Rattus norvegicus: one gene and its partner. The protein of the gene in region 1 interacts with the protein of each later gene in a biochemical or structural test. Links are inferred from orthologs where the notes say so. Each region holds a gene or a part of one and is shown in the gene's direction. Other genes may lie near its edges.

The links.
Region 2: the proteins of Pafah1b1 (region 1) and Ndel1 form a complex in vitro, tested with the Homo sapiens proteins (3 studies listed by BioGRID). The link is inferred for Rattus norvegicus from reciprocal best matches to the Homo sapiens genes PAFAH1B1 and NDEL1.

Annotation. Positions count from the first base shown.
Region 1 is NC_086028.1:60,087,345-60,091,840, reverse strand, and holds the start of Pafah1b1 (platelet-activating factor acetylhydrolase IB subunit alpha), read left to right. Parts: upstream 1-1,644; 5' UTR 1,645-1,964; intron 1,965-1,971; exon of another isoform or gene 1,972-2,769; intron 2,770-4,496. UniProt on the Homo sapiens protein: Regulatory subunit (beta subunit) of the cytosolic type I platelet-activating factor (PAF) acetylhydrolase (PAF-AH (I)), an enzyme that catalyzes the hydrolyze of the acetyl group at the sn-2 position of PAF and its analogs and participates in PAF inactivation.
Region 2 is NC_086028.1:54,044,981-54,048,789, reverse strand, and holds part of Ndel1 (nuclear distribution protein nudE-like 1), read left to right. Parts: intron 1-960; coding exon 961-1,097; intron 1,098-3,809. UniProt on the Homo sapiens protein: Required for organization of the cellular microtubule array and microtubule anchoring at the centrosome. May regulate microtubule organization at least in part by targeting the microtubule severing protein KATNA1 to the centrosome.

The DNA of each region.
Region 1 (4,496 bases):
TTTTTCTTTTCTTTCTGTTACCAGGTACTCTACTATTGAGCTGTGTCTTCAACCTTTTAAAAATAACACATTTAAAAACATTTGAGTTTCCCAGGTAGTCCTCGAACTTGGGATCCTCGTTCCTCAAGCCATTCCATGCTGGAATAACAGATGTGTGCTTCTACCCAAGGTTTTCTTGCTATCATTTACTTTTTGAGGCAGGGTTTCTCTATGTAGCTGTCTGTCCTGGAATTCACAGGGTCGAGAAGGCTCTTGAACTTGGGAGAGATCCACCTGTCTCTGCCTCCACAGTGCTGATGTTAAAAAACACCGTGTCCAGCTGTGAATCATTGTTTTAAGATAGGGTTTTACTATGTGCATCATGCTGGCTTTGAACTTGTGGTAAGCCTCCTGCTTCTGTCTCAATGTTAGGATTACAGATGTGAGGACACTTGTTTATTACTATCGTCATTTTTTTTTTTTTTAAAAGAAGGATGCTTCTGAGGCTTGCAGAGAACTTCTGGGCTCCTGCTATTCTCCTGCCTCCCAAGTAGCTTGGCCTATGTGCCACTTTGTTTGGCTACTAGGTTTATTTTATTCTGATACTGAGGCCAAAAAAAGAGATATGGTAACTTAGTCAAGGTCATATTCCCAGCAAGTGGTGACACCAGGATTCATACTGGAGACATTAACTCTGCAGCTTCCCAAGTGCATTGTACAATATTTACCTTCATAGAGGGAAATAATAAAATTGGTTAACCCTGAGTGCTGGGAAATGCAAGTGGATAATGAAGTAATCTCATTCAATACTTAAATATCCTATATTGAATTATTCAGAGCCCCAAACCTACACTTTCAAAAATCAAGTATCTCCTTGTGGAATAAATTGACCACAAATCCCTCAGACTTGTCATCAATATTTCAATTCACAATATAATAAAATACAGACATGTCTTGTAGGGAATAAAGTTCTGGGTCTTTCTGTGGACGTCAGTTTCCAGAATCTCTGATGTATACGTGTGACTAAGGAAAAGAATAGCTGAATCACATCTACGGGCGATTCCTTCCAATTAAAAATCTGTAACAGAAAGGAACACAAGGCAGTCCATCTGCCTCTTAACCTCAACAGCTCTTCGGCCCAAGCCCACCAATTTACTTTGGTCCTTTTGAGTGGGTGATGGGGAATAATTCCACAGGCTAAGGCAGAGAGGAAGCATCCTGATTTAGCTCCTGCTGCAGCAAGCCGGGGGGCCGAGATGCCAGTGCACCGGGAACCGCGGTTTGCCCCGACAGCGCAGTGACGGCTAAAGCAAAGCTAGAGTCGTGATAGGCCCCAACAGTCAGACGAGAGTCTAGAGCAAAAGAGGCTCTTCCCAAGGGAACAGGGGACAGAAGAGAGAAAAAAGCCGCGGACTGGGCGCAAGCTTGCCCACTGGCTCCGGTACAACCTCTAGATCAACCCGTAGAAGGGCGTGCGGCCCAGGGCCAGGCCCAGGCTCAGGCCCGGCCCGGCTCGGCTCGGCTCGGCTCGGCCCGCGCATGCGCCGCGGGCCCTCCGCGCCCCCCCTTTTCCTGGCGGGTCTGGGGCGGCGGCGGCGCGGTGACGTCAGGGCGTTGGGGCAGCTCCTGTGACAGACGGAGCTGGAGCGGCGGGGCGGCGGCGGAGTCCGGCGGCCGAGATAGCGAGTGAGGGAGCGAACGAGCAGCGACCCGAGAGTCCAGGGAGCGAGGAGGAGCCGGAGGGGAGCGCTCAGGCGCGAGCGAGAGGACGCGCGAACGCTGGGCTAGGGCTCGAGCCCCGGAACGGCTGAGGAGCCCGCCCGCGGCCCTCCCCTCCCCCTCCCCGGGACCGGGCCCAGCGCGCCATCCTCCCCCTCCCTCCCTCCCTCCCTCCTTCCTCCCTTCCCTCTCCCTCCCCCTCCCCCGCTGGTGGATGGGAGTGAAGGACGGAAGAGGCCCTGCGGAGGCGGTGGTGCAGCGCTCCGGTAAGGCGGCGACGCTCTACGCCCTCCCCTCTGTCTTTTCCATCGCGCTCGGGCGGCTGCGGGCCGGGCCGGCGGCCTGACGATGTGGCTGCGCCGGTCCCCTCCCTCCCATTCTCCCCTCCCCCTGCCGCCGCTGCCTCCTCCTTCTTCTTCTCCTCTCCTCGCTCTCAAAATGGCGGCCGCGACGGCCGTTGAGTGAGAGGCACCGAGGAGGGGGCCCTGGCCTGGGAGGGCGCTGCCCTTGCTCCAGTCCTCCGACCCTGGCAGCAGGCTACTTGGGCCGCTGAGGCTTCAAACCGTGGCCTCTCGGCGGCATCGCCCTCCTGCCGCCGTGACTTAGCAAGAAAAGTATTCTTGGGTGGGAAGGGCGTGGATAGCAGGTCGCTCTCTGATCTTGGGGAAAGGGCTCAGCCCTCCTGGGCCGCGGAAACGAACCCGCAGTCCCCACCCCTCCGCGGCTGGCGGCTCGCCGCCGGGGCTCCAGCAGCTACCAGGCCTTCCAGGCGTCCGGTTCTCCACTTGTCCTTAGGTTGGTGGTCGAACTGAAGAGGATGGTCGGCCGCGCAGGCCCTTGGCCCCCCGGTGCGGTAGGAGTCCAGGCTCTGCACTCACTAAAGATCTGCAGCATCCACCCACCGAATCGGGCAGGATTTTCCTTTTTGCTACTGACTCCTCGCACGGGAGTTGCCTTTTGACGTTGCTAACACTGAGCTAGTTCCTAGGTTCTCTGCCATTCCCTTCATCCCATCTCTCTACTCTATTAGGAAACGCCGTGACTATTTATTTACTGTCTCTAGCTTCCCAGGTGAGAAAAAATGTTTTTGAGACGATGGGCTTATTTTGATTCCTAAGAGGAGAAATTTTCACTATCTGAGATAGGAGAAAGCAAGGTGCTTTATTTGTTTTTCTGCCTGTTTTTTCCAGTGACTTAGCAAGAAACTCTTTGGGAGGAGTGCAGGAAATTTTCTGTTGAGGTTGGGTTTGGGTGTAATTCCTATCTTTTTTTTTTTTTTTTTGGTTAAGGAATTGTGCTTTTGAAGAAGAGTATCAGATTTGTGGTCTCATTCTCAATGGGCGATGTCATGTCAAGGACCGCCTCCCCACCCCCAAAAAAAAGGCAATTGGGAAAAAAATAAAATTATTACTGCTTTTCTTACCTTTAGTTTCTAACACACCCTCCTAAAGATTCATAACCTTTAAAAGATCCAGCAACAGAAAGGTCATTTTAGCAATTCTCTTTTTGTTGGGTTGGCTTGTTTTGTGTGAATTTTTTTCCGGGGGTGGGATGGTGGAGAGACTTTGTTTGGGCCTCATACCAGTAAGTGTCTTCCCCTCTTCATTTTGCCACAGCAGTGTTTGCTGTGTTTTCCCCTGCAGTAGAGCTAGATTGCTGCAGGATTCAATTCCTTAATCAGGAATATTTTTAGTTGGGTATGCTAGTAATACTATGTTGAATTCACATTAAAGCTTTAACTTTAAAAATTGGTTTGATTTTAAGGCTTTAGCAAGCTTTTATTTCTAATATGTGTCTTTCAGGACATAGTTGTGCAAAATAATTGGCAGTTACAAATTGCGGTTTTTTATTAACGCAGAATATGTATTTAGGGTAATTTATTCTTTCACGGTCTATTTAAAAGATCATTGTTTGATTTCAGAGGAAGGCTTTTCTATAATTTAAAGCTGGTATATATAATTTTAAGAGTCAGAAAGGAAACCAGTTTTTCACAAAATATTTTTGCATATGTTGGTGTTGACAGAGCACATACCCTGTTTTGGTACATTCTCCCACCCCCATAAAAACAGGCTAATATTTGTGGATGCCGTGAGCAGCCATTGAGCCGAGAGGACTGGGTGGAGTAAGGGTGCGACAGCGAAAGCTGGGAAATGCTCAGTTGCCCTTTCATCGAATCTTCTTCATCCTTAATGACTGTAAGGTTATTCGGTATTAATTGTAGCTACAATAAAGGCATTTCTCTATGGTGGATCTTAAAATCTCAGCCTTTCTACCCTTTTTTTTTTTTAAAGAAGAGCATTGATTAATTGGAATAAAGGCAGCATCCTTGCTCTGAAACAAGTACTTACTCTCCACATGTGTGTATGTATAAAAATATCCACATATATACTAATTATTCTACCCAAATGAGTGTTAAGTTAATGAATGCTAGGGATATTTGGCAACAAAAAGCATGGTATTGTGAAAAAAATCTAGTTAAGAATACTCATATTTACTAAAATCTTTTTTTAAAATTTCTTGATGAACATCAAAGATGAGAAAATAGAGAGTGGTTATTTTGTGTTAAGAGCTCTTTAAATAGGCCTTTTCTCTTGTGTTGCCTCTTGCACAGGACCTTTTTCTGTGATAAAAGAGCATAGCTCATGTTAGTGTCTTGTGGTCCTTAAAGAATTCTAAGTATGATATAATGTAATTCTGATGAATTATGTGTTGTAACTTTGTATTTTTACATTTTTTGTTATTTTCATGTAGTTAGAAAGTATTGTGATGGATGAGTACATTACTATATTGTGTCTCAA
Region 2 (3,809 bases), about 6.0 Mb from region 1:
GCATAGCCAGTTGTCAGCTAAGTTTTCACCCATCAGCAACCCATTTCTCCTTCAGCGTCTTACGTCCTTTGTGACTCAGTGGATTTAAAGGAAATGGAACAAAACAATAGGCCAGGCTTGGTAGTACTCACCTTGAATCCCAGTACATGGGAGACTGAGTTAGGTGGATCTCGAACTCAGAGATCTGCCTGTTTCTGCCTCCAGAGTGTCTGTTACTTTTTCTTTTTCTTTTTTTTCTTTTTTCTTTTCTTTTTTTCGGAGCTGGGGACGGAACCCAGGGCCTTGCGCTTCCTAGGTAAGCGCTCTACCAACCACTGAGCTAAATCCCCAGCCCTGAGAAAGCCTTTTTACAAGTTGGGGCCCAGTCTGCAAAGAAGAAAAGTTAACTAGGCAGAGAGACAGTGAAGAGGCTTCAGAGCAGGAAGGTTTTTTTTTTTTTTCTTTTTTTTCAGAGCCGGGAACTGAACCCAGGGCCTTGTGCTCGATAGGCAAGCGCTGTACCGCTGAGCTAAATCCCCAACCCCAGGAAGTATTTTATTAAGAGACTGTTTTAGGGCTTGAGAAACCTCATCAAGAAGTGCTGACTGCTTTTCCAGAGGTTTGAATTCAATTCCCAGCAACTACAGAGTGGCTCACAAACATCTGTAATGGGATCCTGTGCCCTCTTCTGGTGTGTATAAAGATAGCTACAGTGTCCCCATAGGAAAAAAAAAAGGTTGGAATTGGTATTCTGAGTTGTAACTTTAGGTTGGAGAATTTTATTTCTGTAGCAGATAACCAGGGAATGGGAGGCTACAAGAGTAAGTATGTGTTAATTTTTGCTGAATGGAGTGAGATCATTCTCCAAATTGGGTCAGGTTGACTTGGTTAAGAATGGCAGGAGATAAACTGATTTTCTTTTGTACTAGCTGTTTGTACATGCTGTTTAATTCATGGGCTTCAAATAATTTTGTTTTAAAGGGCAACAATAGTTTCACTGGAAGACTTTGAACAAAGGCTAAATCAGGCCATTGAACGAAATGCATTTTTAGAAAGTGAACTTGATGAAAAGGAATCTTTGTTGGTCTCAGTACAGAGGTTAAAGGATGAAGCAAGAGGTAAGTAAGCTTTATAACTTGGCAAGTATTTATCCATTGCCTGGTCCCTGAGTAAGTCAAGGACTAAGCCTTTTGATGGTGCTAGGATCACAGGGTCTTGAGCATGCTGGGTAAGCACTCTGCTTCCAAGCTGTTTCCAGCCTTCAGTTTCTCTGAAGTTCTAGTTTTATATGCCTTTAAATTTCTTTCAGTCACTGTGCCAAAGTGCGTTTAACCTGGCAATTTATTTCATACCCATATCATCAGCACTAAGAAGTAGCTGTGACCTCCATATTATAGATGAGAAAAAGGAGGCACAGAGTTTGAGCTTTTTCAGTGTCATACTGCACTCAGTTGGGATTTTTTTATTTATTGATTGTATTTAAATAACTTCATTTTATATACATATCATTTTATATATACATATATCAATCTGTTTACATATTATACGTGTAACTAGTACACACTTTGTTTAAAACTTCTTTCTCCTCAGAAACACAGTACAATTGAGAATATTATTTTATTTTATTTTTTTCCGGAGCTGGGGACCGAACCCAGGGCCTTGCGCTTGCTAGGCAAGTGCTCTACCACTGAGCTAAATCCCCAACCCCAATTGAGAATATTATAAAGAAGGAAAGCCCACTAGTAATTTGATATATTTAGTTCATTTTTTATGGTTGTATATGTCTGTATATTTTCCCTTATATAATTTCTGACTTCTTACATAATTTCCTCCTTCTTTCCAGATGAAAATAGACACATATATTTCTCTTTTTTTTTTTTCTGCTTAATATGGGGAATATACATGGCATCACAATTTTTTTTTATAAATTTATTTTGTATACAGCATTCTGCCTGTTTGTGTGCCTGCAGGCCAGAAGAGGGCACCAGACCTCATCATAGATGGTTGTGAGCCACCATGTGGTTGCTGGGAATTGAACTCAGAACCTCTGGAAGAGCAGTCAGTGCTCTTAACCTCTGAGTCACCTCTGTAACCTTGGCATCACAAATTTTTTAGAGCAGGTTTGGGTCTGGAGAGGTGATGGCTCAGCAGCAGGGAGCATTTACTGTCCCTTCTCTTGTTTCCGCTATAATACTCTGAGTCTCATTGTGCTGAGAAGAGAGGGAAGTTCTACAGAAGGTGTGTTCAACTATGTCATCTCTCTCTATAGATTTTCAGTGCCTTTTATTTTCTTTTTCATGAGGGCGCTGTAATCATCTGAACAGTTCTTTTTATTTATTTATTTTTTCTTTTTTTCTTTTTTTCTTTTTTTCGGAGCTGGGGACCGAACCCAGGGCCTTCCACTTGCTAGGCAAGCGCTCTACCACTGAGCTAAATCCCCAACCCCTGAACAGTTCTTTTTAAGTTATAGGTTTTAAAAGGTTTGTTTTATGTGTAAAGAGTGTTTTGGCTGCATGCTTGTGTACTGTTTGAATGCTTGGTGCTCTCAGGAGCTAGAAGAGGGCATCAGATCCCTGCAACTGGAGTTAGAGATAATTGTGAGCTAGCACATGGGTGCTGGGAACCAAACCCCTAGTCCTTTGGAAGAGCAGTGAGTGCTTTTTATGTGCTGAGCTACCTCTCTAGCCCCTGAAGAATTGTTTTAATTTTTGTAATATATAAGTTATTATCTTGGTATTGTTTATTTATAGGTCTTGTTTCACAGTAGTAGGAGTGAACACAGGGCCTTGTATATGACAGGCAAGCACCACACCTCTGGGCTCCATCCCCAGTCTTGTTTTTTGTTCGTCTCATCATTTGTTTTGAGGTGGTGGGACTTAGTGCCTGCTAGGCAAGTGCTCTATCCCTGAGTTTTTCCCCCAGCATCTTACTTATTTTAATTGCAGTAAAAACAAAACAAAACAAAACAACAACAACAACAGCAAAAGAACCCCAAAACAAAACAAAACATTACAAATTTAATCTCTTGTCTATCCTGTTTTTTGAGACTAGGTCTCAACTGTATAGCCCTGGCTGGCCTAGATCTCACTATGTAGATCATACTGGCCTCCAAATCAGAGATCTCCCTGCCTCTAACCTCTCAAGTGCTGGAATTAAAAATTAAAACTGTGCCACCATACCGAGATGGTTTTAAAATATTTATTATTGTTTATGTGACTGGTTGATTTAACTTTAGTGTCTTCAAGGTTTGTTTATGTTGTTGTGACTGGATTTTTTTTTTGTTTACAAAATTTTTTAAATGTGTGTGTGTGTGTGTGTGTGTGTGTGTGTGTGAGTGATGTCTGTGCCTGCCTGCATGAGTGTGGAGTTCAAAGTACAGCTTTTGAGAATTTGTTCATTCCCCCTTCTTACAGAAAATGGATTAAGAACTCCACTCCATCATTTCTTCTCCTCTGTGAATGGGCATTGGGCGGCTTGCGTCTTTAGTTCCTGTGAACAAGGCTGTTGTGGATATAGGTTGCATGTGTCAGTCTGTAATCCTGTTTTGACGTTTTTGATCTCAAAAGTAGAGTAACTTCGTATCCTTTGTTTTGTTTTTCCTTTTTCTTTTTTTCTTTTTTGTTTTTTCAAGACAGTTTTTCTGTGTAGCCCTGGCTGTCTTGGAACTTCTTCTGTAGCTCAGGCTGGCCCCAAACTCACAGAGGTCCGTTTGCATCTGTCTCCCAAGTGCTGGTCTTAATTAAAGACATGAACCACCGCTGCCTGGCCTGTTTTTCTTTTCCTGAAATAGAATCTTTTTGCATAGCCCTGGTTGTCCTGGGACTCTCTAT